2 linked regions of the Saccharomyces cerevisiae S288C genome follow. Each later gene encodes a partner of the first gene's protein in a complex. Each region holds a gene or a part of one and is shown in the gene's direction. Other genes may lie near its edges. The genes, in order: INP2 and MYO2.

The links.
Region 2: the proteins of INP2 (region 1) and MYO2 are in contact, whole or in part, in a crystal structure (PDB 6IXR), measured with the Saccharomyces cerevisiae proteins. Residues at the interface, in NP_013886.1 of Saccharomyces cerevisiae: His532 (codon at 3,361), Gly533 (codon at 3,364), Phe534 (codon at 3,367), His535 (codon at 3,370), Leu536 (codon at 3,373), Asp537 (codon at 3,376), Ile538 (codon at 3,379), Leu539 (codon at 3,382), Lys540 (codon at 3,385); in NP_014971.1 of Saccharomyces cerevisiae: Ile1206, Ile1207, Ser1210, Trp1213, Arg1214, Gly1216, Phe1261, Phe1264, Ala1265, Ser1268, Ile1269, Phe1275, Gly1278, Met1279, Glu1283, Tyr1287, Phe1542, Asp1543, Gln1544, Val1545, Glu1546, Ala1547, Val1565, Val1569.

What each region holds. Positions count from the first base shown.
Region 1 is NC_001145.3:584,224-588,155, reverse strand, and holds INP2 (Inp2p), read left to right. Parts: upstream 1-1,767; coding exon 1,768-3,885; downstream 3,886-3,932. Other genes in the region: MSS11 (Mss11p), read left to right, coding at 1-882. UniProt on the Saccharomyces cerevisiae protein: Required for peroxisome inheritance. Acts as the peroxisome-specific receptor for the myosin V motor MYO2.
Region 2 is NC_001147.6:923,646-927,577, forward strand, and holds the start of MYO2 (myosin 2), read left to right. Parts: upstream 1-2,075; coding exon 2,076-3,932. Other genes in the region: FRT1 (Frt1p), read right to left, coding at 1-1,395. UniProt on the Saccharomyces cerevisiae protein: Myosin heavy chain that is required for the cell cycle-regulated transport of various organelles and proteins for their segregation.

The sequences.
Region 1 (3,932 bases):
TTCAATAAGATGAAAACAATTCCTCAACAAATGAAAAATCAAAGCACTGTCGCAAATCCGGTTGTTAGTGATATAACATCTCAACAGCAGTACATGCATATGATGATGCAAAGAATGGCGGCTAACCAGCAATTACAAAATAGTGCCTTTCCTCCAGACACTAATCGTATAGCGCCAGCTAACAACACTATGCCATTACAACCAGGAAATATGGGGTCTCCTGTCATTGAAAATCCAGGTATGAGGCAGACTAATCCATCCGGACAAAACCCTATGATCAATATGCAGCCCTTATATCAAAATGTTTCTTCCGCAATGCATGCGTTCGCTCCGCAACAACAATTTCATCTACCACAACATTATAAAACCAATACTTCAGTACCACAAAATGATTCTACCTCCGTCTTTCCTTTGCCTAACAATAACAATAACAATAACAACAACAACAATAATAATAATAATAATAATAGTAATAATAGTAATAATAATAATAATAATAATAATAATAATAATAATAGTAATAATACACCCACAGTATCACAACCATCATCAAAATGTACTTCTAGCTCCAGCACAACTCCTAATATAACTACAACAATTCAACCCAAGCGGAAACAGAGAGTGGGTAAAACAAAGACCAAGGAATCAAGAAAAGTTGCTGCAGCTCAGAAAGTTATGAAATCTAAGAAACTGGAACAAAATGGTGATTCAGCTGCTACAAACTTCATCAATGTCACTCCAAAGGACAGTGGCGGTAAGGGTACCGTAAAAGTTCAAAACAGTAACTCGCAGCAACAACTAAATGGCTCTTTTTCTATGGATACAGAAACATTCGACATATTTAACATTGGTGACTTTTCTCCTGATCTAATGGATAGCTAAAACCTATTAAACAACAAAAAGTGTTTCATCGTCATTCTTCCAATACTAACCGTTGCATCTTTTCTTTCATATGAGTAGTATGTTTCTAATTTGAATCTTTAAGAAAATTGTTTGTCTGTATTTGTCGGAACGATTTTTGGGATCATCGTTCAGTGCAGGTGTATCGTTTCTCAAATGAAGTGTGAAACTTACTTCTCACTTAGGTTTTCAAAATAATGGCATATAAAGATGGTCTAACATCTATACATATTTTTGACCAAGCAGGAGTCAATCGTTAGAGTAAGTGAGTATATCAGTTTAGTTATTTTAAATTAGACAATGTAATGGAGGGGTGCCAGTGACACTATATAAAATAAAAAAAAAATTTGCATCTGGTGCGCAATAGCGTTCTTGTAACCAAATTTCTATTCCGGTCGAATTTAAACTAGCAAGAAAATAGGTAAGCAAGCTATCTGGCCAGCTAAAAAGACGGTGCCTCAAAGTTTTCGGAATTTTTATATTTAATTCCTAACATATTTAGAGAAATGTAGCATACTCTTTATACAGAATTCTCCAACTTACTATGGTTTCGTGGTCTAGTCGGTTATGGCATCTGCTTAACACGCAGAACGTCCCCAGTTCGATCCTGGGCGAAATCATTTTTTTGAAGACATCCCGCATGAAAACATCAAAACGTAAATAAAAACACTTGATCTGAAAATAAACTAAACATTCATCTTCACCCAATATCATAAATGATTAGGTGACTACCGGATACTAGACGGTTATAGGAGTTTTATCAAAGGTCAAAATCTCACCCCCTCAATAACTGCTCGGCATACCTCACGCTTATTGCAACAAGTTTGTTTTTACTTACTTGTGAAACGTTTGTTGATTAACTTAATAATGACAACAAACTCACGTCCATCCGCCTTGCAGGCTCCCGGTTTACAGATTTTTTCCATGCTGAAATCAAGCGAAGAGGATGGATTCATGAGTTCTAGTCTAACCCTTGATAGTGATAACATAATAGGTGTCACCGAGAACAATCGTCAAGAATTTTACTCTACGTGGCGAAAACCGTCCCTATTAAGCAGCCGCAGCGTATTACATGAATACTCCCCTACAATTGTGGGATCTAATGACTGTACTTTTTCACCTATAACCGTAGGAAAAACAACGAAGTTTTTTAATTGGGATGATATTATTTCAAGAATTTTCATGCAACAGCCATTCGGTGTAACACACCAATTCTTTGAAGAATTTCGGTATTCAATCATTACTTCTCATTTTTTGAATGATATGAATCATTACAGGTTATCACTACATCTTGATCAATCTATTATGAACTTTCATAAAAGCTCAACTTTGTTAAAGAATGTACCTCCCAAATCTGTACCATTTATGGCGACAAAATATGGTAAATTGGCGGTAGCAGAGGACAAAAAATTATATTTCAGACAAAATTTCAACTACCTTTCGATGATTATAACCTCTTATCGAGTACTTACACAGTTGAAAAAATACTGTAGAAAAAAAAATAGTCCAGGTCTGAAGAGAGTTGTAATTTTAATACTCGTAGCAGTGTATTTATCAATTCAGCAAGAATACTTTCGAAGACATTTGATTTGCTATAAAACCTTATTAAAGGTACGGAAAGTGCTCGAATCATTACAACAAGTGGATGTAATGATTCATAAATATCATCTTCGATTTAAAGAAATAAAAAATCATAGTTTTATATCAAGAGTGTCTCTTATTTCAATTGCTGACGAGCACTCATCTGTGATAAAAGAGCTCCTAGTATTCTCAAGTGATGCACTGTTTTATAAACTCAAATCAATCATTCCAGATATTGTCATCTTTAGCGATACAAGTGAGCTATCGAAATACTGTGAATTATACGGTATCGATGTACCAAATCTTTACTATAATAATACTACCACAGTAAAAGACCTTGATGGTAAGCTTTATCGTCTCAAACTGCTAAAGAAATTTATGCTCTGTTGTTTGCTGTCTTTAGATATGACAGGAAACGAAAATCTTTCAAATGTAAACATGAGAAACGCACTAAACAAAATCTTTCCAGATTACATGGCAAGGGTGCAACTCAAAAAAAAATATAATCCAATAGGTACATTCCAAAATATAGTTAGTCTATTAAGAGGATTACATTCACTACTCTCCACTGTCCTGGTGTCTTTGAATGACCATAAGCAAATATTGTATGCATTTCCTGAAGAAACATCAACTAATACTGGTTGTGAAAGAGCAAATGTATGTTCATTTTCAAAGAATGATAAATTGTTTCAGGCACTTAATTACTTAAAAATGATCGAGAACAATCTATTAGCTATTGACATTCGAAATGGCATAACAGAGAATGATAGGAACATCATTGAGGATAAGTTGGAGGAGCTCATTACTTTCTGGAAAACCTCGAAAATTTGTGGCAATATTTCTAGGATACAAAAGGTATCCCCAACCAATACAATCAACCATGGTTTCCATCTGGATATCCTCAAAGGCAGAAAGTCACCCCGTTCTTCGTCAGTACAAGGTCTTAGCTTAGAGAGGAAAGTTGACTTCATTGATGTTGCTGAATCGGTGAATGACTCTTTTGAAAACGACACCGAACTAGAGGAATATGAAGACTACGACTGTCAGGAGGAATGTTCTGCCGGTTCACGCCAAAATCACCGCGTAGATTTTATCGGAAAGGATAGTTGTAGGAAACCAGATTTCAAGCAACTTTCTGACAACGAATTACGACGCAAGTTAGATGAAAGAATTTTGAAATTGGCTCAAGAAAACCGTGAAGGCAGGGAAAGGCTAAGAACTGCAAAGTCCTTTGAATTGCTAAGAAAAGCTCAGGCTTCCATGTCCGTAAAGTTTGGCTTTCAAAAACCATTAAGAGACGATGCCTTTCTTGAGAGCAGGCCTCTCAGCAAATGCAAAGTATCTTCGGAAGAAACTATCCCATTTTTGTATGAATTAAAAGGATTACTAGGAAATGATTCATGATAATATATTTTAATATGTACTTTGAAATAACTAATTACACTTTAATC
Region 2 (3,932 bases), on another chromosome or scaffold:
AGTTTTTTGAACGTTGTTTTCATTCTTGATTATTGTATCGTTTAAATTTCTTCTCATCTCATTCTCGATCTTCACTAGAAGTGTCGAAATATGATTTTGATAATAATTCAATTCATCAATGTTATCATTCAAATTTGAGTTGCTCTTCGAAATAGAGTTTGAGCTAGAATCAGGAGTGGCTGCGGAGCCATTATTATTGTTCACCTTCAGTACACTCTTGAACCTAGTGGAAGAATCCGCTGACTTCTGCCTATTCAGTAAATACTTAAATCCCAAGGTATCGGTGCCAGGTGCAGTGGAAGAGCCTGATGAATTCCTTGGTTTCCTCTGGTTAGTCAAATATCCTAAAGAGGGATATACACCGTTTAAACTTCTTCTATCCACATCTTCTGAATCTGATGAGGTGGATGACGTGGACGAAAAGGCTGATGACGACAAAAATGCTGGTACATTAGAACGGGAATACAGAAATGACGAAGAATCGTTGACAGCAGAACCGTCCAAATCATGATAAAACAAAGATGTGCTGGGGGAGGAGTTTACGGAAATTTGTGATTGAGAATGCATATTCCCTAATTTAATGCCGCCAGCGGTGGATGAGGGCTCAAACACTACCGACTCCCTCAACGTATCAAATGGGTCTGAATTTCCCAAAGAAGGCTGTAAAAATTGGTTAACCAATCGTTTCCTCTCATAATCAAAAGAACCAGCGGATGATCTACGTTGCGAAGAGGAGGAACCCTGTATTTGATTGAAAGCTAGCCCAGTATGACAGCTTTGGAAAACGGACATCGAACCACGACGTCCTTTACTAAGGCAAGACAATCTGGCCCTATTAGAGTTGAAGTCGGTTTTCGGCGACACTCTGAATGGATCATCCAAACTGGATGCCCCACTATATGATCTACTGTGTCGACCTACTCTGTTATCGATGTCATCTTCAAACAAAAAATCGCTAAACTTCCCGGTTTTGGTCGATCCCAGGACAGGTAAGCTAGTCATTTCCAATGAACGTTGTCGTACCCCATGTGCCCTATTCTTTGTCACATATAAATGTCTCCTATCATGCAGCGCAGGCTGTTCCTCCTTTTCTTTCTCCCTTTCCTTTTGTAACAACGATCCCAAGTTTACTTCAGTGCTTGGTCTTGGGACCACCGGATTATCATTCACTGCTATGACAGGTAATCTAGAAGATGATTTCGAAAAGTGTGCAACATTTGTTTTAGCTTGTAGAGGTTCCGGCTGCGGCTGCGGCTGTAGACCGGATTCTTTTATCTTCACTGCGTCGCCACTGGAAGCCCTTCTTCCCTTACAAAAGCCTCTTGGGAATGAAGGAGGTAACAGGGTACAGTTCCTCGATCCGGGATTCTCCATCCGGTCAATTAGCAAGTTCATTTTCACTTAATGTATCAACTATAACTTAAACCAAAAAAAAAAAAAAATTTAGATATGGGAAGGTCTTTTCCTCCACAAATAGGGTGAACTATCCGACCCAGATCAATAAATAAATAGGCTCGAAGACGCCTCAGAACTCCGGTCACTGGTTTGTCTTGTTGATATACGATGTGCCAAGCGCCGTTTCTCGATGCTTATCTGGTTTAGTTTACGCTGTTAAAACCAAAACCCCAACAGATTTTCGACCCTAACGTATGTAGGGCTAAAATAGATATTGAGTAGGTTACAATTAATTATTGGCAATTGCACCTAGTGACACATTTACGAAAACGTAGGGCAAAAACTATTACCCGACCCAGGGCTATTTTGTGATTTTTTCCTTTTTTTTGTTTATGATCGCGCTTCTCGAAAAGCCAAATATCAGAAATCCCAAACACGCCTTCATTTGATACGATTCGTAGCCTGCGTTTCAGAGATCTATCAACTTTGCAAGGCCAATCAGAGAACAAAAAAGTCTCGCAAAGTCATTTCACTTTTCTCGCTTGAAATTATTCGTTCGATTTCTGGCTGCTTGCTTGTTTTTTGTTTTCTAAGGTACTATTCGACACCATTCCATTGGACAGCGATACTTATACCATTGTACATATAGGACATAAAAACAGCAGATATTACAGCGTATAATGTCTTTTGAAGTGGGTACACGATGCTGGTATCCCCATAAAGAATTGGGCTGGATTGGGGCGGAAGTAATCAAAAATGAGTTCAACGACGGCAAGTACCACCTGGAGTTACAATTGGAAGACGATGAAATCGTGTCCGTGGACACAAAAGACTTGAATAACGATAAGGACCAATCTCTACCGCTTCTTAGAAACCCTCCCATTTTGGAAGCAACGGAAGATTTGACCTCTTTATCTTACTTGAATGAGCCAGCTGTTTTACATGCCATCAAACAGCGCTATTCTCAATTGAATATCTACACATACTCGGGTATTGTTCTGATTGCTACAAACCCTTTTGATCGTGTCGACCAGCTTTATACACAAGACATGATCCAAGCATATGCGGGAAAGCGCAGAGGTGAACTGGAACCTCACTTGTTTGCCATTGCCGAAGAAGCGTATAGGTTGATGAAAAATGACAAACAAAATCAAACCATTGTGGTAAGTGGTGAATCTGGTGCTGGAAAAACGGTTTCTGCCAAGTATATTATGCGTTATTTTGCTTCTGTAGAAGAGGAAAATTCCGCTACTGTACAACATCAAGTGGAAATGTCGGAAACAGAACAAAAGATTCTAGCTACAAACCCTATCATGGAAGCATTTGGTAATGCTAAGACTACCAGAAATGACAATTCTTCCAGATTTGGTAAGTATCTAGAAATTTTATTCGATAAGGACACATCTATTATTGGAGCAAGGATCCGCACATACTTGTTGGAACGGTCCAGATTAGTTTACCAGCCGCCAATTGAGAGAAACTACCACATATTTTATCAATTAATGGCTGGATTACCAGCTCAAACCAAGGAGGAATTGCATCTTACCGATGCCTCAGATTACTTCTACATGAACCAAGGCGGTGACACCAAGATCAACGGTATTGATGATGCCAAAGAATACAAAATTACAGTAGATGCATTGACATTAGTCGGAATCACCAAGGAAACTCAACACCAAATATTTAAGATCTTGGCCGCACTTCTGCATATCGGTAACATAGAAATTAAAAAAACTAGAAATGATGCATCACTATCAGCTGATGAGCCAAACCTGAAACTGGCGTGCGAATTGCTGGGAATTGATGCCTACAACTTTGCCAAATGGGTCACCAAAAAGCAGATCATTACAAGGTCAGAGAAAATTGTTTCGAATCTAAATTATAGTCAAGCTCTGGTTGCCAAAGATTCCGTGGCTAAGTTTATTTATTCCGCCCTTTTCGATTGGCTTGTGGAAAATATCAACACCGTGTTATGCAACCCGGCTGTGAACGACCAAATTAGCTCATTTATTGGTGTTCTGGATATTTATGGGTTTGAACATTTTGAAAAAAATTCATTTGAACAATTTTGTATTAACTATGCCAACGAAAAACTACAACAAGAGTTCAACCAACATGTTTTCAAATTAGAGCAAGAAGAATACGTTAAAGAAGAAATTGAATGGTCTTTTATAGAGTTTAATGATAATCAACCTTGTATTGATCTGATTGAAAACAAGTTGGGTATTTTATCACTGCTTGACGAAGAAAGTAGGTTACCTGCTGGTTCCGACGAATCTTGGACCCAAAAACTTTATCAAACTTTGGATAAATCTCCTACGAACAAAGTATTTTCTAAACCAAGATTCGGGCAAACTAAATTTATCGTGAGCCATTATGCTCTAGATGTCGCTTATGATGTGGAAGGATTTATTGAAAAAAATAGAGACACCGTATCTGACGGACATTTGGAAGTGTTGAAGGCTTCTACCAACGAGACACTAATAAATATCTTAGAGGGATTAGAAAAAGCTGCCAAAAAACTGGAAGAAGCGAAA